Styela clava: one gene and its partner. The protein of the gene in region 2 interacts with the protein of the main gene of each other region in a biochemical or structural test. Links are inferred from orthologs where the notes say so. Each region holds a gene or a part of one and is shown on either strand. Other genes may lie near its edges. The genes, in order: origin recognition complex subunit 4-like and origin recognition complex subunit 2-like.

What was found.
Region 1: the proteins of origin recognition complex subunit 2-like (region 2) and origin recognition complex subunit 4-like form a complex in vitro, tested with the Drosophila melanogaster proteins (3 studies listed by BioGRID, with this or other methods). The link is inferred for Styela clava from reciprocal best matches to the Drosophila melanogaster genes Orc2 and Orc4.

Annotation. Positions count from the first base shown.
Region 1 is NC_135254.1:23,096,092-23,108,547, reverse strand, and holds origin recognition complex subunit 4-like, read right to left. Parts: upstream 6,470-12,456; 5' UTR 4,306-6,469; coding exon 2,986-4,305; 3' UTR 2,228-2,985; downstream 1-2,227.
Region 2 is NC_135262.1:2,455,994-2,469,147, reverse strand, and holds origin recognition complex subunit 2-like, read right to left. Parts: upstream 6,371-13,154; 5' UTR 5,989-6,370; coding exon 5,262-5,988; intron 4,693-5,261; coding exon 3,551-4,692; 3' UTR 2,513-3,550; downstream 1-2,512. Other genes in the region: mitochondrial-processing peptidase subunit beta-like, read right to left, coding at 7,853-9,274. UniProt on the Drosophila melanogaster protein: Component of the origin recognition complex (ORC) that binds origins of replication. DNA-binding is ATP-dependent, however specific DNA sequences that define origins of replication have not been identified so far.

The DNA of each region.
Region 1 (12,456 bases), on a different chromosome or scaffold from region 2:
CATAATGACAATTAAAATAATTGATTTAAAACTAATTTTTGGAAACACAACTAAAAACTGACTAATTTAATGCAGGGATGTCCAAATCGAATTTAAATTCAAATATCGCAAACTTCAAATACTGTTTTTTCGTGTTTATAATAATCCCAAATATGGCGCACATATCCTAGGCGTCGTCGTCCATGTGTGGTTCGGCAATATATTACAGCTGACATGAAAGAATTTCGATAAACGCCAACTTGAAGAACTTATAAGACTTCGAGGACGTTTTTGATTGAAAATATTTTCTTATCGGGTATTTTAACTTAGTCGAGATGGTTTAGGCGTCCTCGGCAAATTGTGTCTTAATTAGTTGTTTCCATCCTCAGTTTCGATAGTGACCGAACATAACAGGAAATTTTTTCATTTCTTCTAATTTAGCGCGTATAAAATAGCTCTTAAATAGTATTTAATATCTATCGCGGATTTCGTCGGCATCCGGCATTGATAACAACATCAGTTCAGTTAAAGTTAGCGGTATTCATTTACAAACAAAAATACATAACAGCCGACATGAAGACGTCCTCGACGACATGAAGACGGGCGGCGTTACATTGCGTCAAGATGATGAAGCACGAGAGTATTCGTCACAAGAGAGAGAGAGATGGCATTATGCTATTGTCGCTTTCAATTCGCATCGACAGCGCGCGATTTCTACTTTTTTGAGATAACATATCTCATTTTCGAATACAAACATATACGCGGGGTTAGCGATTATTACGTAACTATCAGCAAAAAGGTATAATTGAAGTCGGGCGGGCGGTGTTAAATTACGTCGAGGTGATAAAGCACTGGAAAAAAGTAGTTTTCACCGGATTGTTATGACCGTGGAACGACGTTGTTTTAACATAGAACAATAATAAAAAAAAACGAAATTCAAACGGGGGACACGACCCCCGTAACCCCCCCGCTGGTTGCGCCACTGAGCCTATGGGCATATTTACTTGGCTAACAAAGACAGTCCCCGAACTCTTTATCGTAACAGAACTAAAATAAGGAAAATCAAAATAAAACTAGAGCTGCGTGCAGCTTTAACAGGCTTCCCGCGTAAAAAAAAACTGAAGACGCGTTTTGCTCACTGGAGCGTGAAAGCGTGGTCAGTCATGCATAAAATTCGCAATTTATGATGGGGGACTTATTATCTGCATGTGATGTAAATTTCAAGTCTCTAAGTAGTGTCGTTCTCAAGAAGAAGATGAAAATGTAAAATCCTATATTGCTTACTGGAGCGTATCGCCGAGGTCACTCATGCGTGTCCTTGACATATCGTATCCGGAACATGTCCATTAATCATTGTTATGAATTTCAACCCAATAGCATGTATTAATTTTGAGAAATCGCAAAAAAACTGAAAACGCGTTTTGTTCACTGGAGCGTGAAAGCGTGGTCAGTCATGCATAAAATTTGCATTCCATTGCTAGCTGAGAAGTTCTGCACATTTGAGGTGAATTTCAAGTTTGTAGGACCAATTTGAAAAAAAAATAATAATAATAATAAATAAATAATAATAATAAATAATAATAAAACACAGGAATACAATAGGTTCCCTGCTGACAAGCAGCGGGAAGCCTAATTATGCTCTAAACCTAATCTGGCACACATACTACGAGAGTATGTTATTTCTACCCAATGTATTATTCAATATCAGTATCAACTATTAATGCATCTACGATAAATATTTATCACCTCTGTCAACTTATTACTAATAAACTGTGAAACACAGACACCCGAATACCCCAATTCTATAGCAATAAGTACTAGCAGATAGTTTATTAGATAACAGTATGTACATTTAATTTGTTTTCACAATGCTTTCATGGATTCAGGGCCTGCTTGTTCAAAGTTTTGTAATGATTGAAATATTTATAAAAACTGAATTAATTTCCACGAGAAGTACCTACATGAATTTATTGATGCAAGTAATTTTCTGGTATAACATGACCTGGAATCAGTCGAATGTAAACAATTCAATATCAGAGATTTACATTACCGTTATGTATCAGAATAGTGAATAAAATACTATACTCACATCGCTCATAATCCCAAAACCCAACTATGGGTAAAATGTGAAGTGTAGCCCAGTCTAGTGTTGAAGCAGAATTACATTAATATTTATTATTTGTCGAAAAATAAGATTCTGAATGAAAGAAAATTTATTACTAGACAATAACCATATACTGATTAGGAATCTGAAAATGAATATAGAAAATAATTTTTTTTTGAACATAGCAGACACAGGTACTAAAACTTCGAACAATCTTCTATCATGTATGTTTAATTGGATTTTGATGTTATATGGTAAAAGATGACAGGATTAATCAATAACCGCTGATCATTGGGGGCAACAACATCAATCTGTTGGAAAATGTATGTTCAAAAAACATTTTTTATCTGAAAATAACAAATAATGAATTAATGATCTCATTTCCCAAATCTTTATTTTTTTGTCAAGTATGGTTTCGATGCAAATTTATAAAAAAGCAAACATGCCCTTATGAAGTACGGTACATTATTTGTTCCTCATTGTGTGTATTGTAAAACAAAAACACATAATCATTATTATCGTAGTCCAGGGTTTCCCAAACTGGGGTCCGTAACGACTACACATGGGGTCCGCAGCGATATTGAGAGTCTGAAACATATACCGGTACATTTAACGTATATCCACTGTTACATAGACATTCATAAACGAGATAAAGTTGTAAGTTAACGCAATCACAAATGGTAATGGTTACGAGACCTTAACAATGGGAGTCACATAAATTGGTATAACATGAGGGTCCGTAAAAAATAATATCCACAAATAGGGGTCCGTGGCCCAAAAAGTTTGGGAACCTCTGCCGTAATCTATAATGTTAATATTGCCAGAAAATACTTCTCAAAGAAGGAACAATTCTCAATACTATCTGTGTGTGTTGTTATGCCCTCATAGCTTGTTCATACAAATTATTCAAGTGATGACATAGCCCATTGCCTTAGATCAGTAGGACAACCATTGTATTTGTTTATCGCTTCATGAAGTTGGCTTTGTTCGATTAATAGAGACATCGGCCTGTATTCCTTTTGAAGTTTGGATCCAACACCAGCATGAACACCAGTTGCACTTGAATACATAGGTTTAATCAGTTCCAATTCTATCAAATGCTCATAGGCTTTCATGACAACCTGTTTAGAATAGTTTTGCAAGATATGGGATCTTCTTTTCGCAAATTTAATATATTCATTATAAACCATTTGAAAATTAAAAGGCTCTGCGTAGATATTATTCAGGTGGTGCATTGCAATAACCAGACAAAGTTCCAAGACAGAAAGTCCATGTAGTACATTTGCTTTGAAATCACAATGTAATGTATTTATTGCATCGACTATTTCACCTGCAGTATCTGATGGCTTTGCAAACGGATCTAATTTAAACAATACGAGTGCAAGCGCAGTGTACAACGAAGAAACTTCCTTGCAAATATCAAACTGAAATTGAAGTGACCGAAGCACTGATGAATCAGATGTAATTTTTTCAACAAAATTATTCCACTGCTTCAGAAATTTATTTTTCTCATTCTTGTTTCCAGCAAATGTTTTAATATCATCCGCATTGAGAGTGAGTAAGTCCTTGAAAGTTGCTACATATTGATCAAAATTACTTCCATTATGAATATATATTTGTCTATGTGAAAACCTCGATTTTACTCTTTTTTCTAACAAATCCATAACATCAAGTCTACAAGTGAGACCTATTACTGCCATAGGTGTAGTACCCGCCTGCGTAATATCAAAAAGGTTATACAACAGGGTTTGATTTTTATGCATAGCAAAAAGCTCAAAATTGTCCAAAACGAAAAGAATAGGGCAAGAAGTTGACGATTTGCCTGTCCGCAAAGCTTCCAATAAAAATGCTAAATTTTCCGAAAAAGAACCAAACACGCGATCTCCAACTGTATTCTCAAGATGTAATAGTCTTGTAATTTCTTCTAATGCAATTCTGTCATCAGTTTGAATTAAACCATTTAAATGTACTTCCATCAAATTTTTCCCTATGTTAACATCTTTTTTAATGTTTGTTAAAGACTTTTTCAGTAATGTTGTCTTGCCAGATCCGCTTGGACCAATAATAAGAAGTGAATTGCTTTCTCCCAATTCAACTGTTCGTTTTAATAACTGTTCTATGTTTAGAAAATATTGATTCATATCCTTGCGAATATTTTGAGGTGTAGATAACCCAGCCATTCTTTTCCTGATTAAGTCGTGTGCTGAACTCAAGAGGCTCATTATTATGTATGGCTGTATAGTGTAATTTGATGGAACAGAATTAAAGAATATCTGGTGAACAAAAAAATGAAAAATAAAAATTTTTGCATACAGTCAGACAGTCAAGCACAAAAAATAAAAAAAAACTATTACTGCATGCTGACATACAGACATAGTACAGTCAGACAGTAGGCTAGTAATGAAATGAAGACTGCATCCAAAAATCAGAATTACATACATACCACCTTAGTCAGACAAATAAAATGATTTCCAATAGGATTACGATTGACAAACTGACAAGGAAGCCACTTGACAAATTCACATAAATATTTTACCTATACAGTACGGCACACTATACAAGTCGGGTGACATTGTCCTAATTCAGAGAAACCCATTTTACAGATGATCAGACACCCCTCCTTAGGGAGACGTCTGGACATTGTTGTCCCTCAATATCGGTAAAAATACAGTATAATAAAGTTGCGCCAAATACTACAAATAAGCGCAATTTAGTAACGTCATCATTGAATTCCTCGGAAAAAAATAATCCGATTTATCGAAAGAAAAAATTTTTACCGTAGCATTTGAGAGTTTTTAGCAAAAAACAGCAATTTTGGTCATGTGGCGGCCGCGATTAATTTAGAATATTATTGAGACAAGCATGGCGCGATATGAAGCATCTAACGTGATCCCAGACGCCCCACCTTTGTGAGACACATAAAGTGTTTGTTTTTATTGAGCCAAATGGAGGGAAATTCTTGGAATTTGGATAGTGTGCTGTATTGCTATAACAGTATAATAGAGGCTCTAGTTACTGAGTTAGGATTTTTTTTTTATGTGGTAAAAACAGGAATACTCCAATATTCATCACATTACATAAAATGTTACCATCCAATAAGATCCCCATCACCATTGTATGTTCCATTAATTCAGCATCGGTATTGCTATTTCAGTGGCTCCCAAACTTTTTTTTGTCGCGACCCCAATTTTCATAAAATCAAAGCCCACAGATACTCGCGACCCACAACTAGAAACGTTGAGCAACTTCAGAAATCAGTACTATGTATCATTTTAAATACCTCAATGGGAACAATGTACCAGTATATCTACTGTAAATGGACGTTGACGATGAACATTGGCCCAAAAATATATGAACGAGTCCGTCAATGCGCCAGAAAACGGGGGAACTTCGGAAGATTTGATAACACATGGCATGATATGAAAACCACAGTGTAAAAATCTCTTAGATCAGGATTTTAACGGTTCTTTAGCGAAACCTACAGTACTAGACGGACTTGATAAAATGTGGTAGATTGTAACTGTAAGGAAGCTTATGATACTTCGGAAATAGTGAGATTTGGAGATAGTAAGATGCTTCTAAATATACATAAATTTTAAATCTTATTTAGTATATTCCAACAGTGTCTTTATTATTTTGATTACAATGTTAACATAATACAGATTGCTCCATTAATAATTTTAAATTAAAACGGAGCATGAGAGTAAAATAGGGAAAACGTGAACGAAATCACATCTTTCAGGTGCCTTCTATTATGCTAAAACTTGTTGTGGTTTTGTGTTTGACTACTCGGAACGCTTTGAAAGTATGTATGAAACTTCTGAATACGTAATATCGCAATACGAAAACGTTCACTTTTATGTGGGGTCAATGTGGGCAAAACACGCAGCCGACTCATAGATTTTGGACACGTGCGCAAATTAACAAAGTGCTTTCGCAACTGATCAAAACCTACAGTGCCAATACTCCGCCAAGACACCGCCTGGTAATCAATACCAAACATGTCAAACACCTAACTAAGGACCGTTCGCCAAATAAAGCAACTTTGCTTTGTATCTTCCAAACCAAGCGGCTACACCAGTAGTTCTCAAACTTTTTTTGCTCACGGGGCACTAAGCAAATGAAAAATATCCTGCGGCACACTTGTAACAAAATAAAGTTATCCTTAAACAAATTATTCTGCAAATGTTAATGAGATGTGTGTGGTCTGTTTTGAGAAACAATTGAAATGATGTTCCGTCGCTCCCTTTTTTGCTTTTAATTTCAGTCATAGTAGAAAATCACTCTTACTACTGTACTACATCGATAAGGCAAATGTAATTATATTACCAGTCTAATACCGGATACTCAAGTCTCACAAGCTTGCCCGTTGCATGCATTCCAATGTCTGAATGTGTAACACGAATAGCTTATTTTCTAAAATTTCAAAAAGCTCCGTTGCACACCTGAGAAGCTCTTGCGACACACTAGCGTGCCGCGGCATACAATTTGAGAAACGGTGGGCTACACAGATACAAAATAAAAAACCAACGTAATTTCTCGCAGACTGGCAATGGTCTAAATCCAATTCGCTTACCAGCGGGTCTACAATTTATTTGAATGTAAGATGATCAAAAAAGCTATAAAAAGAATCGAGCCATTCTGGCACTGTTTGGACAACAAATGGTCAAGATATTGCTAAAAATCCTAAGTTTGGAAATTTTACGGTATTTGCCAGCAAAAATTTCACTATACAATTTTCAAATTCTATTCACTTGTGTGTGTATGTTCGGCAGAAGTTAGGCGACCCCAAAAAATCGGATGGGGTCGCGATCCACAGTTTGGGAACCACTGGTCTCATTTATTCAAATACCGGTACCGGTACATATTACCGGTACAGTATTATCCAGTTGGTTGTATCAAATTTTCATGTTGTTAATGTCATAAATGAACAATAGTTACATAAAAAATGACAATTAGCAAATGAAAATTTTACACTATTTCTAATAGACTAAATTAAAACAAAATAATCTTATCTTACATCTAGTTCTGTAGTTCAGTACCGGTAGTTACAGACTGCTGGACTGTACGAGTTCTTAATCATCATACAAAACTAAAACAACGCAAATTGAGGCTCTCAACAGAGACTGTATCTAAATTCCCATTTATCCTGTAGTACCGTAGGCTACTGGTACCGGTACCGGTACCGGTACGGTACTGTCTGACTGTAGTATCTGACTTTAAACACACATAATTATTCAAGCTAATCTAGTCAAATTCTAATAGCTGAAAGACTGCTTAGACTTTAACCGTATTTACGCTTTAACAAACTGACAAAATTCCTAACAACTACCGGTACGGTATGCAAATTCCAGTGATACCGGTACCGTAACCCTTCAGGGGACGGACTGAAAGTAGGCACCTAAAAATTAGGCACCTATTTATGCACTTCGGAAAAAGGGTAAAATGGGCGTAATATCTTTTAAAAAGACAATGAATTAGGTAAAAATAGTCAAATTAAACATTGAACACGCAAAGTACAACAAGTAAACCCAAAAATGATACTGTAGTTGAAACGTAGTACTAAAAGTCGCACGCGCTCTCTCACCAAATACGCTAGGCACTTCAAAAAAATGAAGAATGTAATCAGTCAGTAATCAGTAATTTATTTTTTCATCATGCTGAAAAATACGAATTCTACATACACAATTTAAAAGAAATATATAAAAAAAATCGCATTTTAGGGTGAAGGGAGACGCCGAAAACCAAAGCTGGTTATCGAGCGGCGACACCGTTGAGAAAGTCTAACAAAACGCGATAAATACAATAAATTATCACCAATAACAATAAAAACCGAGAAATAAAAATATAAGTCACATTAATTAGCCTGAGTGAATATCCGATGAATGCACTTGAGTCTAGTAGTGGTATTGAAGAATAATAAACCCGTCCTGGCGCGGCGGTGTGGCTCAACGGGCTAAGCGTTAGGAATACGCTCGCCACCGCACCTCTAATTACTCTGCGTGGGTTCGCAGGTTCGAATCCCATGCAGGGATGGTTATGTGCGAGAGGATTGCTAGTCTCCTCGCCGTCGTTGGGTGGTTCACGTAACCGCTGGTCGGTTACGGCTTCCTCCACCACCAAGTCCATGTTTCCGAAAACAAACAATACAAGAGAGCTATGCTCAAATATATGGACACGTAGCGCCCCCTAAGGGCAATAATTCTGATGCCGTCATTGCAGTAAAAAAAAGTAATAGCCTTCTGAAGAAAATTTTTATCTTCAACCACTGAAAATTTCAAAGCAATTGGTCCAGTCATCACAGAGAAAAGCGACTTTTTAAAAACGTGTCAAAGAACAAGAACAAGAACAACAACAACAACATAATATTGAAACGATCGCTATGTCCACTACGTGTCCAATAACTTATCCCACAACCGACTTGGAATGATAACCGGACGAGAGGCCGTGGTTTTTCCATATGGATAAGCCGTCTTATGGCTTTCCTCTCCCCCTGGATAAATATGTAAATCCTAAATTGTTACAGGAACCGGTTATGACTTTTCATGCACTTTGGAAAAATAATGAAATGGGCGTAATACCTTTTGAAAAGAAAATGAATTAGTTAAAATTAGCCAAATTAAATGTTGAACACGAAAAATGCAACCAGTAAATCCATTAATTAGGATTAAAACGTAGTTTTAGAAGAAGTCGCACGCGCTTGATCACCACATACGCTAGGTACTTGGAAAAAGAAATAAATCATCACTAATAAAAGACTATAAATATAAAATATAAATGCTAGTGATACTAGGTGAATTTTCGATGAATGCATTTGAGTCTGGAAGTTTTATGCATGAATTATAAATTGGTACAGGTAGGCACGATCGACAAGGCAATTTTATAGGAATTTAGGAAAAAGGGGGAAAATGGATGTAATAACTTAATAAAATAATGAATCAGTTAAAAATAGTCGGATATGATATAGAACAGATTATAGATAGACCATGCAAGGTGCAAAGGGTGAACCCAAGAATGCGGGTTGTAACGTAGTATTAGGTAGGGGTCCATGCTCTTGATCACAACATATCCTTCGCTCTTCAAAAATGAAAGGAGGCTAATCACTAATAAAAGACGATAATATGAATATATTGGTGCTACTGATTACCCTAGTCATAGTTGAATATCCAATGTATGCACTTGCGTCTAGTTATTTTGCTCAGGAATATTAAATTGCCACCAGCTGGCACGATTAGGCCCTTTTTAGGCATCCCGGAAAAGATGAAAATGGGTGTAATCGTAAATATATGATGTAATAACGTCTGAAAACGTAATAAATACAGCCAAGTTCAATGTGAACATCTAACCTAGGGTCACCATATTTGAAAAAGCAAAATTCCGGACAGTTCATGACCCAGTGGCGGCGCATCAATAGGGCCAACCGGGGCAATGCCCCGGTTGTTTTTTCGGTATAATAAAAAATATTGGAAAAATACCTCAATATCGGTTGCACAGACTGTCTACACTAGCCATATTCTCCCGATATGGTTCATTTTTCGCTCGCAAAGCCTTCGCCGAACGTCGACGGGGCGACGCCGATTTTGCCCCGGTTGCTCATTGTATATCGTATTCTCTCTTTTATCTTCCACTCGCCGCGTTTGTCTCGTTTGTTTTCTGTTTCTTTTACTAAATCATCAGGGCCGATCGGGGCTAGCCCCGATATTATGACGACACAATGCCGACGTTTCTTACAACAACGTGTTGACTTATTCACGCATTCCTTCTCGTTCGTTGGTTGCTTGAAGAGTTGATAGTTTCCTCGCCTTCGTTTTTGTTGCTTGTTTCGCTATTTGAATCAGTTAGAGACCTTTAGTCCATTTGCTTTCGATTTTCCACATTCCTTTTGAGCTCCTCACTTCTTTCCGGCTTCGCATTTCTTAGCCTTAGACCTCATAATGAATAAGGTTGATGCACTACTTCGCACTCCGTTTTCGCAGCTCCCGCTGGAACAAAAACTAGAGGTACAACGTCTTGGGCCTTATCAACCAAAAAATTGTTCACTGGAACAATCCCATGACGGAGGAAAGCGTCGGCGTACATTCTGCGCAGAAACTTGGTATAAAAAACACGAATGGTTGTGTTACAGCGAGGACAAAAATGCACTTTTTTGTTTTTATTGCCTACTTTTTGCTACCGCCCGTGACTCACGTTGGTGTAAATTTGGTTTTAGAGATCTTAATCATCTTTCCGAGCGTGCCAGGGATCATCAATCTTCTATGGAGCATCTGGACAATGCAGTAAAATACCGAACATTCGGAAATGTTATTATTGCAGCACAGTTGGATGAAGGACGCGCGGTTTCTATTCGTCGGCACAACCAAAACGTCGAGAAAAACCGCCATGTTCTCGGTCGATTGATAGATGTTTTGAAGTTCATTGGTTGTCACGGGCTGTCCCTCCGTGGGCACGATGAACGGGCTGGCTCTTCTAATAGAGGGGTATTTTTGGATATGGTGGAATACACCGCATCCCTAGATACAGTATTGAGAGATCATCTTGATGCCGCAACTGTGTCGAAAGGGACATCTAAGGATATCCAAAATGATTTTCTCGACTCAATGTATAAAATTTATTTACAACATTTGGCGCGGCAGTCATGAGTGGGTGTTCAAGTTTATATAAAAGAAGATTTTCCTCGTGCGCATTTTTTACATTGTTATGCACACCAATTTAACCTCGTTATTAAAAATATGTGTCTTGATACCCCTCTCGTCCGTATATTTTTTGCAAATGTTTCGGGGTTTTCTTCATTTTTTTTTCGTTTCGCCGAAGCGCTCTGACCTCCTTCGCCAGATATGTAGCCGCCGTCTTCCAGCTTGTGCACCAACACGTTGGAACTTCCAATCACGCGTGGTGCAGGGCGTGTCCGAAATTAGGTCTGAGCTCATTGAGTGTTTCAATGGCATTCAGAGCTCTCCGGTTTGGGACGAACGCTCTGTGAGGGAGGCGGCAGGTCTAAAGTGTCTGCTAGAAGATGGTGAGTTTTCATTTTTTCTCGCTTTTTTCTCCACAATATTCTATCACGTGGATGTATTATACGGCGCATTGCAGTCAAGGCTAATGGATGGAGCGTCTGTGCAGTCGTGTATTTCAGACTTCTGCGATGCTGTATCTCGTATTCGGGAAACAATAAAATACGACGACACATGGAGTGCTTCTTTACGCCGCGGGCAAACAACGCAGCGTTTGATTTTGTCTGCAAAGGAATGCTGTGACATTCTGGTGAATCAAATAGGCGATCGTCTGCGCACTGAACACCTTGCCGCGTTCTCTTTGATGAACCCCAAAAATTTTTCAAAATTTGCACGTCAATTTCCCATCCATTTGTTGGCTACTGTCTCCAAATTTTACCCCATGATAAACGTGAGTAAATTGGAAAATGAATTGCGATGTATATACACCAATCAAACTTTTTTGAACATCACATCAACTTGCGCGCTCTATGGGTTCCTCATAGATAACACTCTAGAGTCTAGTAACTACTTTTGCGGCGTCTGCAAAATTTCTGGACATCATTTTGACGACGCCTATTTCTTCCGCCGACGCAGAGCGAACATTCAGTAGGCTGAAGCGTATTAAAACGTATCTCAGAAACACAATGAAGCAAGATAGATTAAATTCCTTGGCTGTTTTATCCATTCACAGAGACGTTATTCCAGGATGCATGACTTTAATCAGCGCGTTATTGAGCATTTTGCTTCCAAGAAACCGCGGCGTGTTGCATATATGTTCAAGCAGTAGAAGTCTAGCAGCATATATATCTATGAGTGAGCGACGCATGTCCTTATCTTTGCATTAACTTTCCTTTCTTCATAGTAACGTTTTAAACCTTATTTTAGGTTTTGTCTGCTTTCCCGAAGTTTCTGTTAATATGTCATTGTATTTATCTGGGTAAATATTGCCTTTCCTTTTGAAAGAGGTTTCAAAATAAACTATGTCTATATTTATTAATCCCTTGACTTGGACCGGTTTTAAAGACACTTTCTTATCGTTAAAAATTGTCGCTTTTGCCGATTGGTTGTTACCGATGGAATGGTTTTTATACTCATAAAATGATGGGAGAACTTACAGCGCTCATCCTGTCCCCGTAGATGGGGGTGACTTGGTCCCGCAGTAGCTTGCCCCGGTTGTCAAAATGACCACGCTCTGGTCACTGTCATGACCTCGTAGTAAAAAATATGAGCACGGTACGAAATAACAATGTTCTTTATTAGCAGTGTGCACAGTACGATTGCAGATGCAGTAAAATTCCGGATTCCGGACATTTAAGCATTTTTTAAATTCTTCCCGGACGCAAAATTTAACCCTAAATTCCGGACATGTCCGGAATTTTC
Region 2 (13,154 bases):
TTTCTTGGACATAAATATATTTCACTGTATTTATTTTTCAAATCTATGAGTAATATTCTCAAATTGAAATGTTCCAACAGAATATTCAGACCTCTTTATTTATTTTTAATTGTATTTCTTGCTTGTATGTGTACCAATATGGAGGGAAACTAATTTTGTTCGCCTACGTTACATCAACTTGTGTAAAGGGACCGAAACCTATGGGCAGGGGATATATTCACTTGGCTAACACAGACAGTCCCCGAACTTGTAATAAAATTAAAATAAGGAAAATCGGAATAAAATTATGGCCTAAACCTAACCTAGTACACACACTACGGAAGTACCCCTTTTTCAGCAAATTTGTTTTAAGAGCAATTTTGTTTTTTGTATAAATTGTCTTTAGAAACAACAATTCGGGCTATTCTCCATTGTATTTTTATATATTATCAACCTTGAACCTCAGTAATTATGAGAAAATTGTTTTTATTTTTTCAACAAAATTGTGTTTTAAAATTAATCTTGCATTAGTTTTCACTAGCAATAAATTCCTTGCCTAATTTGATTTATTTTATCCACTGTATTACGCATTATCATTTGTTATTCGTATGTCAAACATGTGGTTGGTCTTTTTCTGGTTATTACTCATCGATTTTAATCGGTAAGTATGTTGATTTGGTATTTGTCTGTCTGTATGTCTGGTAGATGCACGCGATATCTCACGCAAGCGAGATTGAATCTGCTCCAGATTTTGCATGTGCATTAATCTTATCTCGGACCAGAAGCCTATTGATTTTAGGCGAAATATGTCGTATAATTAGCGAGTTATTAATTAATTAGTGATGGGACACAGGGTGTCACTATGGAGTAAGAGCGCTGTTTTGGGAGATCCCCTAACTTTCAATCGATAAGTCTTTGGTCTCTGACCGATATTCTCGTTATTTTCTTTCGTTTTTGCAGCATTTGAAATAACCATGTTATTTTGAATTTTTTTGACCATAAATCAGATTTGAAAGCCCCAAAAGCGTTAATTTCATAATAATAATCATGCCTTGTTTCTATTTAACGTTTTTTTCTCAAATTCGTACCTCATCATTTTTTGCTCTGAACAAATTCTAGTTTTTTACACAAGCGGTCATTTATATTTAATTTATCTTCAGTTGAATATTTAACATTGAACTAAATTCTGCATTATAGAAGGTTAAATTTAAGCGTTGAACAGTGCCTGGACAAGCAGTTAAAAAGATCGGGACATTTTAACTTTGTGAGAATTTGAGCAAAACACGCCTCTGGACTGGCTGAATTTCTAATCAGATTTTTCAAGTTTCATGATATTATTGTGTGTTTGTAGCTTAAATCATGTTACTCCTAGTGTTGTAGAAATTTTGTTTCAATTGTGTTTATGATTTTCGAATATATTCCTGCATGATACTTCGCATCGTTATTGTGAATGGTGGGATTTCAGAATTACGTTCATTTTTAGAAGAAGTAATTTACATATTTATCCCAAAACCGATAAGACGACTCAATCATATGAAAAACTACGACCTCTCCTCGTGTCGGGTACAACATTCACAGTGTTACAAAAGCAAAAGTGGAAAACAATAAGCCTTGTGACGAAACTAAAATTAACTGCAATTTCAACAAATTTCTTTTTAGCTAAAACATCATAATATGGTTTTAGTTTAGTTGGCATCAGGCGGGCCAGATTGAATTACCCAACGGGCCGGATTTTGCCCATGACAGGTTAAAGACTAGGTTGAGTAACCCGCCTATATTAATTGGTAGGCAACTTCAGTGATCAGAACTGCAAATTCAGAGTCATACTTCCCAGCCCTGTCATTTCTCTGGAGAAATGACAGCAAATTCAGAGTCATACTTCCCAGCCCTGTCATTTCTCTGGAGAATATCTGGTAAATAAATATGAAATAAATGATTGCTTGATTCCTGACTCTTGCAGCGTGACTCACAAAAACACTGTTAGATTGCGGCTTCCTTCACTACCCATATGAACATATAACTACTGACCTTGTGATCATAGACTGTTTAATAAGTTTTTCCCTCCTAACCTGAGAGGATCCCTGTGGCCCAGTCCGAAGCACATAAGTTCAATCAAGCCCTCCCTATCTCAGCGGTTCCCAACCAGGGGCCACTGGCCCCCCACAGCAGCTGGAGGGGGCCCCAATGCTAGGCGCAAAACTGATTTCACTTTACAAGCAAACTCTCCTATTCTTCCCAGTTTCATTGCTTGATAAGGTTATTTCACAGGGTGTTTTCATTTTATAGAGCATGAATTGTTTGAACTCAACGTGATTTAGAATCTACCAATCAAAATAACACTATGAATACCTCTGGAATGATAAACAGGGAGCCATGAGCACTATAAGCATCTAAAAAAGGGCCACATGCTATAATAAAAGGTTGGGCACCACTGATCTAATCTCTCTACGACTCAAAATATGCCTTGCACATGATGAGGTTATCAATCCTCTATCCAGATCACACAGGTATTTTTGTGAAGATTTCAACAAGATTCATTGCAATTCAAATAATATATTGTATTCAAGAGGCAGCATTTGTAGAAACAAAATACACGATTGATTGAATACAGTAACATTTCCCAGCTGAGGAGAACCCCCCCTCCCAATTTTGTTATTTTCAGGGGGAATTTTGCATAGTATTTGCTGTAGTACAAATACTAATATTCTTTATTTGCTTATTCTAATGCTTATTTATATTTACCTTATTTATTTATAATTATTATTACCTTAGAAAATTAATTACTTGTACTGTACCAAATCGGAAATGCAAAATGTACTTAATACGTTTGAAGAACCCACAAACGACTGGAAAAATAAAGCAGTTTTTATACATATTAAGAAAGGAATAAAGAGTTCCGAAATAGTCGGAAAGAGGAATTTAGAGTAAAATGTAAGGAGACTGGAATACAGTAATGATTTAAATAGTCATTAAACCTCATTGTGTGGCACAGCATCCAAATACACTTTCAAGTGGCAGTGGAAAGCAATATAATAAATAATGAGAAAATAAATAGAAGGTTGGAATAATTTACACAAAATTAAAACAACGGTGAGCAAAAAAACGCAAATATTCTGGGTCCCGAGAAACTAATTACCTTGCCTATCAGTAACTGGTTGTACAGAGCCTAATTCAGAGTGAAAATGGAACAAGAACATCAGTCAGTTCATTTTCTCAATTAACTGGAGGATGAACATCTCAAGTGTGTTCAAATAATTTAAACAAAATTTGAACAATGGTAAGCAAAAATATGCAAATATTCTGGTCTTTTCAAGAATATTATCACATATCAGTGGAGCCCAGACATGGGTGAAAAAAGCAACTGAAAATCAATCAATTCAGTTTCTGAACTGAAAAGATTCTGGTCTAGTTCACAAAAAATGACAGCGAACTTCAGTGAAAATAAAACATGAATATCAGAGTGAAAATGACGGTTTCTGAACAGTGGATATTAGGCGAACAAAGCTTGGAGGAGTGTGAAAACACCTCAAAAACAAGTAATCACCTTCCATTCTAACAAAATTCCTCATTCTCAAAGTGATTGATCTAAATATTCTTGCAAAGTAGCGTTATCGAGGGGAATAGAGAGGTATTCGCCACCGTCAATACCTTTTTTGATTTCAACAAGTTTATGGTCGAGAAATTCCGTAAGTTGAGTCCGCAGCGTTAGTTCGCTGTTGACGAGAAACTTTTCACGACACATCTGATACAAATCAGAAAAAGAGAGTCCGATATAATTACTCGATTTTGACTCCTCGATTTGAAACTCTGTGAGAAGTTTAAAAATTCCTCGAGCATTAGGAGTTAAACTTCTTGCCACATGGACGAGGCCGCTTAGAGCTAATGAACCACCAATACCAGTTCCACTGGTCAACATAAGAAGCGAATCCTCAAATGAAGTTTCGTCTTTATAAGGTTCGTACGTTGTTACATCGTACCAGAGCCATTTGAATCGACATAACTTGGATTGGTCCCATATAAGGGGAGCATTTATGTGGTCTATGGTTGCAATAACATGAATCCGTGGACACGACGCTAGGCGACTTAAAATATTTTGAGTCTTATTGTTTCGTAAAGTTGTTCCATCAATATTGTGAATTATCAAGAATAAATGATCAACAAACCCATTGTCTGTGTATTTTTTACATATTGCGTCAACTTGAGCCTGCTGTTGGCTCCCTCCGATGGTGATATTTACGTCCGCAACCTCGCAAATTGACGCCAAAATTGAGCGTATAATTAAACTCGGAAAATAACCATTTATAACAATTTTATCAAACTCTGAGAGCATTTTTTCACAAAATTCATGCACTAGGTGGCGTTTTGATCCCAGTCCGTATAGTAGAATATTATAATCGTTAAAAATATAAAACATCCATTTACGAAAGTATTCTTCATAGCCTTGAATCAGCCACTGGCGAGAAAGCTCGATTTTTTCTACTTTGCTGAACATATGCGGATTAGAATTTTTTAATCCCGCGATTTTATTGTTCTGTAATTCCTCTAAGATAGAATGCATTGTTTCTTGGTTCATTTGAGGTATTTTTAGTCGTGCTAGAGTTCGATCAGAAGTACTCGCACCCAATTTTCTTCCACTTTTATGAGCCTCGAAATAAAGCTCTGTTTCCGATGGCAAGGCAATTCTTTTTGATGGCTGCGGCACTGGGGTTTGATCTAAGAAAAATATGCCAGTTAAGAAAATGATAAATTAACAGTTGAGTTCACAAATATATGGACAAGAATACCATAACAAAGTAGTAGGCCTATGTGTGGTGTATGCAATCTTTAACAGTAGACTACCAGTACCGCAGTTTTCATGACTTCGTCTGACTACCAGATAGCAATGAATGCGAAGCCGGCACATCATTGCACAAAAAAGATCAAATGCCATAGATACCACAGCAAGTTTTGAAATAAATTTTAGCCTTCTAGGAAAATTACAATCTTTAAACACTATAAATTCTAGAGGCAATTAGTCCAAGAGCGATTTTTCAATAAGGTAACTACGAAAAAAAAATACCAACACATCCTGCTGTGCGCTAGGAATATGTTCGCCACAACACCCAGCGAACTGGCAACCGGACGAGAGGCCGTGGTTTGCCATATAATTACGGTAAGCAATCTTATCGGCTCTCCCATCCTCCGGGATAAATATGTAAATCATAACCTATCTAAAACGATTCATAAGTCCATGCTGATTCGCATGAGACATGAACTCAACCAAGATAGTTTAATTCGCAAACCTTGTCGTTCATCTTGTTCTTCCTCATCTTCACTATTTTCCTCTTCACTGGAGTCAGAATTATCGTCAACTTGTTGATTAGCTTGCATCTCTTGAACAAGATATTTTTTTGTGCGATTCGAGGTTCTTGTTGGTGTATCAAGTGCATCGTTGTTCGATTTTTTACCTGGCGTTTTAGATGAACTGTCGGTGTCATTTTCAGCGAACTTAACACTTGGTGTTTTAGGCTCTATTTCTGTGGCTGGTTTGGAAGGTGTCTTAGAAGTCTTCGATTTTTTCTTCGGCGTTTTGGAGTTACTTTTTTCAACCAATGGATCGTTATTTTCATTATTCGCCGATTGTTTTGCACTGGATACTTTTCTTGCAGATTCAGACGCTAGTTTCGACATTTGTTTAGCTCGTTTCGGAGTTTTAAAACCGTACACATCTACTCCTCCATATTGTACGTTACTTTCAAGTAGAGATGTCGGAACGAGTGACGTGATTTCACTCAAAATGTCTTTTTCTTCATTTTCCGCATATTTGACGCTTTTTTCTTTCTTTTTAGGGTTCTCAGAAGGCTTTTTCTTCTCAATTTTTGGGACATCGTTAAAGAACTCCGCTGCTATTGCCATAGAAGATCTTGTTTTTCGTTGGTTCTTGACTCCAAGCATAGTAACGTGATGCTCCACATCTTCATTTCCGACATGTTTTACAAGAACAGATCGTCGGCTTGGGGTTTTTGACATGGTTTATTGAACTGGTACGAAAAATTTGGAAATAAACCTTTCTTCTTCTTCCAAATTCAGCCGAAATTTTTTGAGGATTCCAGATGTTAAGTTTCCAAAAAATAGTTTTTCAAGTTTTTTCTTTGTTAGTGTGCGAAAAGAAAAAATACACAACCAAATGCTCTACAGAGGCAAGGCGAGAAATAGCATTCCCGCTGAGCAAAGTATTAAAAGCTTTTTGAGGACTTGCTCCAAGACAGGTCACACACATGTCCAACTAAACGCATCTATACAAGTTCAAGAACACTCAACTTTGTAACCAAATGTTTTTCAGAGGAACGCTGTGTCACTTCTAGGACAATTGCTGTCACTTATAGGACAATATTTCCACGGTGAACTGATAATTGTGAACAGTTTTTATGGAAATTTCTCCAGGCCAGGTCACAGTTAATGCACTCTTGATTCTTGAAGTTTTCTGAATATTGTGAGAATCTCCTTTGAGTGAAGCTTCTGTTGCATATAACTATTATAAATTATGTTAAATTAACTAAAATAACTAAGTTAAACAAAAAAGCACAACAGTTGAGCATTCAGAATTCAAATTGGAACATATTATGAGCAAATAATATATTTATGACATAACAATAGGAGATTTGACAGCAAATGAAAACTGAGTTTTATTTTAGTTATATGGAGTTATGGCTGACCTAGTAATGTCAAAGGATAGTTATTTTAAATCAGAGGATATTCAAATCTAAGAATCTACTATTCTGAATACATTATAAGATGATACTTTTAAATATGGAACGACAAATTTTATTATAAATTTGAGATCTCTTTTCTTCGATTCTATTTTATCATAGATTAGGATAAGTTGGAAGGTAATAACCTAGCTTCTTATCTGAACTTATCTTATCAGTAAGATAAACAGTACAAAAAAAAATGATCAGAGATTTTGTAACAATAACACCAACAGAATAGTACTCAAAGCTGAAATATCGAATAATACAATCATTTGATGAAAATTAATCAAGATTTTCTATTAATATAACAGAACTTGCCAACCCAGGTAATGAAATATCATACAGAATGGTCGCTAGAAGAGCAGAAAATTTGAAAGTAAGACGAGATCATGAATAAAATGAGTATAGGTATAGGTTGAATTGGAACAATATCCCACAAGTTAACCTTCAAAACACTACACGAGCTTGGACTTCTAGGTTAAGACATCGCTCTGAAGTGCGTGGACATCATTTTGAGCATCTATAAGTGGAATATAACATACCGTATATGCTCGTTTTACCGCCCGATCTTGATTAAGGGCCCGTTTGAATAGTCGCCCGTGTGAACAGAACATAAAAACAAATAAGGGCGCTAAGGAAATAAGAAGCGCTTTTGTCACAACGGATTAATGTCGTCAAATATTTGTCTTCAAAGATATCGTAATTTTTGTGTAGAATTTTACTTTAAAAATAACAAGCGCCCTTGCTTGAATAAGGGCCGGTTTGAATAAGGGCCCCGGTTAGTGAGTTTTTAAAATAAATATGGGCCCGGGCTACAAAACGAGCAAATACGGTATGCCTTTGAAAATCTTTGCACAAGTTATTCTTTTTATAAATAAATAGCTGTTTGACAAATTTTCCTTTTTTCTAGCGACTCGCACTGTATTACGCTATATTTATGAAACTTTTAGAGTTTTGATATAAGTAATAACCATAAATAACAGAATAAGTTACCCAAAAAACTCAAAGAAGGAAAAATATATCACCACCAATGACTAAAAAGAATCAAAATGCCCAAAACTGAGAACACTTTTCAATAAAAAACAGCAAAAGACAGAATTTTAAATTTTTTTAAAGTTATTTCTGCAGAATTGAGAGTCATTTTAGTTAAATAATCCAGAATGTACTTTGTACATTTTAGCACGAATGTTGGTGTACATTGGCAAAGCTTCTGTGGGTCCGATAGCCGCAACAGCGGGGTCTTGGTCGTAAACGTATTTTTGCATCGCATCTTTGACATCCTGGGTTCCGATTTGTTGGATTCTCATTGTCATTTCTGGCCACGGGATTCGGCGTCCGTAACATAACATCTGTCTTCCGATGTCTTCGCAAATTGGGGTCGTCCCGTCCATCATAATTGCCATGTTAGTAAGAAGCGTGTTTTTCGCACGCTCAACTTCGAAATCTGAGATTTGGTGACAGACTCTCATTAACTCATCTTGAATACGGACCGTACAATCAAACACATTTGCGTTATCTGTAACATAATAAATTCCCCATAGACCAGTGTCAGTGTACAAAGTATTGAATGACTGGAAGCTAACGCAAAGGTTTTCGTTTGCCATTCTACGCATGAGAGGATTCGGAAAATGAGCTCCGTTAGTCGAAGAGCGATCCCATGTTCCAATAATTTGATTCGCGATCATCAGTGGTATGGTGTCATAGTGATCCCATCCAACTCCTTCAACTGCAAGGGCAACATGAACATATGGCATCCTGTCGTCCCGATGTCGCATATCACTTCCAGTGAAGCGGCAAGGTTTAAGGCTATTTGATAGGGATTCTGCTACACTGGATTCCGTAGCTCCAAAGTATTGCTTCGCTAATTCAACCAGTTTGTCGTGGTCGACGCCCCCCGCTGCTGCCATGACCATTGAAGATGGCTTGTATCGACTTTGGATATACGTTACCAAATCATTTCGTGTTATCGACTTGATGTTCTCACTCGGCCCCAAGATCGTTAAACCCAGCGGAGTATTTTGGTACGCAGTCGCATGTAAATAATCGAAAACAACTTCTTGTTGGTTTTGTTCGATTTCTTCCATTTCCCTCAAAATCACGCCTCGTTCGCGCTCAATCTCTGCTTCTCCAAGAGTGCTGTTTTGAATAATATCAGCGAGAATTTCGACGGCCTGTGGTAGATCTTTCGAAAATGCTTTCGCATAATACACAGTCTGCTCACGAGAAGTATAAGCGTTAAGATGTGCACCCATGTTTTCAATCTCCAATTCTAATTCCAATTGAGAGCGATTTGATGTTCCTTTAAACGCCATGTGCTCTAAAAAGTGCGCAGTACCGTTGTTCTTCTCGGATTCGTAACGACTTCCAGCGTCAATCCATAAACCAACAGTACATGTCGGTAGATCAGAATTTTCAGTTGCAATTCGGAATCCATTGGATAAAGTTGTTACTCGTGTTTCTGGAGTATTGACTTGTACAACAGCTCGTGTTGCATCTCCGCGTTGAACAACCTGCTTCAGCTGTCTCGCAGGCTTGATTAAATTCTTTGCAAATCTTGAATACATTTTATAAACTGGATTTAACTAAAATATTACAACCCAAACTACAGGGGAAACTAAAAAAACAAAAATAATATGGCAAAATGGGAAGAAAATATTCTCACGAATGCTGGTGGATATTTTTTGTTTTAGACAGTATCGTACAGTTCTCCGATTGCAAGAATAGCCTCCACATTAGAGAAAATGGGTCTCGTGTAGTTTCATACCAAATGTACTTCTAGTGGGCGTAGCATAACAATTTTTCGATATGTCAATTCTAGCCCCCATCTGACTACGCCATCCAAAAATTACGTCACTACGACATCACAATCACGTCACAGAGCTTGCCAAATATACGTACAATCGCCCGAAATGGCATTAGCGCCTACAATAAAGCACTGACTGACGTTATCGATCTCTTTCCTATTTAAATCGTTGCGACGAGAAAACGAGAGAAAAAACTGTTCGATTTAGGATAGGATAGGATTTACATATTTATCCCGGGGGAGAGGAAAGCCGATAAGACGGTTTATCCATATGGCGAACCACGGCCTCTTGTCCGGTTACCATTCCAAGTCGGGTATGGGATTAGTTATATTGTTTGTTTTCGGAAGCGTGGACTTGGTGGTGGAGGAAGCCGTAACCGACCAGCGGTTACGTGAACCACCCAACGACGGCGAGGAGCCCAGCAATCCTCTCGCACATAACCATCCCTGCATGGGATTCGAACCTGCGAACCCATGCAGAGTAATTAGAGGTGCGGTGGCGAGCGTATTCCTAACGCTTAGCCCGTTGAGCCACACCGCCGCGCGATTTCGAGTGATCGTTTGCGCGTCTTGGATGGCAGTTCATATAGTTTAAAGGGCTCTATTACGTCACCGTGACATCGTAATGATGTAATTTTTGGATGACGTAGTCAGGTGGGGGTTAGGATTGATACATGAAAAAATTGTCATGCTACGCCCACTAGAAGTATGTTAGGTACGAAACTACATGAGACGTGAGAAAATCAATTACTGTTACTGGTATAACTGTGAGTGCTAACCCCTTCTTTATGAGACTGTCAGGGTCTTCAAATCGGCAGAGTGCAAAAAAAAATAAAAGGACAATCAAAAAAAATCACCATTCAGCCATTGGATTTCTAGGAAAAATAATGGGTCTCATGTAGTTTCGTATCTAACATACTTCTAGTGGGCATAGCATAACAATTTTTTCACCTGTCAATACTAACCCCTACCTGACTACGCCATCTAAAATTTGCGCCACAGTGACCTAATATAGCCCTTCAAACTATACGAACTGCCATCCAAGACGAGCACCCGAAATCGAACAGCTATTTCTCTCGTTCTCTCGTCGCGATCCCGGGTCTCATGTAGTTTAGTACCTAACATACTTCTAGTGGGCGTAGCATGACAATTTTTTCACGTATCAATCCCAACCCCCACCTGACTACACCATCCCAAAACTACATCAACACGACGTCACAGTGACGTAATAGAGCCCTTCAAACTATACGAACTACTATCCAAGATGCGCAAACGAGCACCCGAAATCAAACAGTTATTTCTCTCGTTTTCTTGTCGCAACGATTCCAATAGGAGAGAGATCGATAACTCTCAGTCAGCTCTTCATCGTCGGGGCCAATTTCATTTCAGGCGATTGTACGTATATTTGGCAAGCTCTATGACGTGATTGTGATGTCGTAGTGACGTATTTTTGGATGGCGTAGTCAGATGGGGGTTAGGATTGACATATCAAAAAATTGTTATGCTACGCCCACTAGAAAAACGTTAGGTACGGTACGAAACTACACGAGACCCGCGATCCCGATAGGAGAGAGATCGATGACATCAGTCAGTTCTTTAACTTCGGCGCGGTGGCTATTTCGGGCGATCGTACGTCTATTTGGCAAGCTCTATGAGGTGATTGTAATGTCGTAGTGACCTAATTTTTGAATGGCGTAGTCAGATGGGGGTTAGGATTGACATATCGAAAAATTGTTATGCTACGCCTATTAGAAGTAGGTTAGGTACGAAACTACACGAGACCCAAAATAATCCGGTACCCTATAAAAAAAATCAGAATAGCCATAGCAGTAGGTATGGCTGTATGGTCTGATACCGGTACTGATGGTACCGGTAATACGGTACGGTACCGGTACCAGTATTTCAAAGCTGAGCACGATGCGCCACACCGCCGAGCCTTGACATCCCGTCGCAGGATGTGTTCAAGATATACCGTAACGTATGTAATCAAACTTGTTGAATCTTGAAAATAAGCCTTAAACTTGGAGAATAGGGCAGCAAAAGAATACTAGCAAACGTCAACCAAAGGACAGCAGAGCCAACCATGCATGTAATTCGACCTTTCTTGATCTTTTCATGACCCACGTGATAAAAGGTTGTTATCAAAATATATGCTTGGATTAATCTAAATGCCTACTAGAAGTCATTCAGTTTTAAGTTTTTTTCGAATTCATTTGAACTTTTTGTTCTAGTTTTACAATAATAATTAGCGCTGAATTACTGGAAGATAAGTGAAATACAAACACTAAAAGCGCTATTGATCTGGAGGATTTCACCTCCAAGGTTGTATCTACACAAAAATATCCCATACTGGTAACACACGAGCGAAATTTACGTCAAATAGAATGCATTAATATCTTTGGGGATACCTGTATGACCACGGAAAAAACGAATGAACAAAGCTTTAATTTTTTCTCAAAATTCGCCACTACAAAACCCTCAATGCCTCAGACAGAATACTCCGCTACCGCTACTGTCAACTGTCAGGTGCTCCGTGGCCCAAGTTTATGTGCATTGGTGTTTTAAAGGTAAGTAATTTAAAATAGCGTGGGTCACGTTAAGAATCATTGCAAGGACAAGCAAGTTCATATTATGCCATGTGTGATGAGAGAAGATTTACATATTTATCCCGGGGAACAGGGAACTGATAAGACGGTTGAATAATATGGCGAACCACGGCCTCTCGTTCGGTTACCATTCCATGTTGGGTATGGGATTAGTTAGCCAGTTATTTGTTTTCGGAAGTATAGACTTGACTTAAAGCAATTTAACGCAGATTGAGGAATCCGAAGTAATTTAGCGTGACAAATAAAAATAAACAATGGCTGTGTTAATAAAAACACACTGGTGAATTTTTTTACACATTCTGTTCATTTTTATGCCTATCGCAACTCAAACCATCCACCTCCAAACATCCAGTTTGCCTAGAATTACATCTTTATATTTATATAAGATTTTAATATACAATCTCGGGTTGTGGAACATAGTTACAGGTTTGAGTGTGTAGGTACAGTGTCGAATGGAGCCAGTGCTGTGAATCCCTTGGTTACGTCCTTCCAGGACCATCTATAGTGGGCCTCGCGTCAGGTGTAAATCAACATGTACTCAATAATAATTCTATACTGCATGAGGTTTCCTTCACACATGCCGTGTGAAGTTATTTTGATCACGATTTAGTAGTTAGTTGAAACGAAATAAAATGTTTTAAGACGAATTAACTTCATTTTACAAAATTTTAATTTTTCACACTTTTACCCAGACTAGGTGCCCGTCTATCAATTTTGCCTATGGCTCCCAAAAGTTAACATAGGTTACCAAATATATCCAGGACACACGTTGCTTATTTGGCCATCGTCAGCATGCCCTCAACAAGACTTGCTCAATCAGCTTTAGGCTTGGGATTTAGGCTATATATATTTATCGCGGGGGAGAGTAAATTCGATAAAATGGTTTAATTATATGGCGAACCACGGCCTTTCGTTCGGTTGCCAGTCCATGTCGTGTATGGGATTAGTAAGCCAGTTGTTTGTTTTCAGATGGACTTGATCCTTGCAGCCCTATATATACACAACGCGGCCTCATTCTTGCGTGGGAGACTGTGA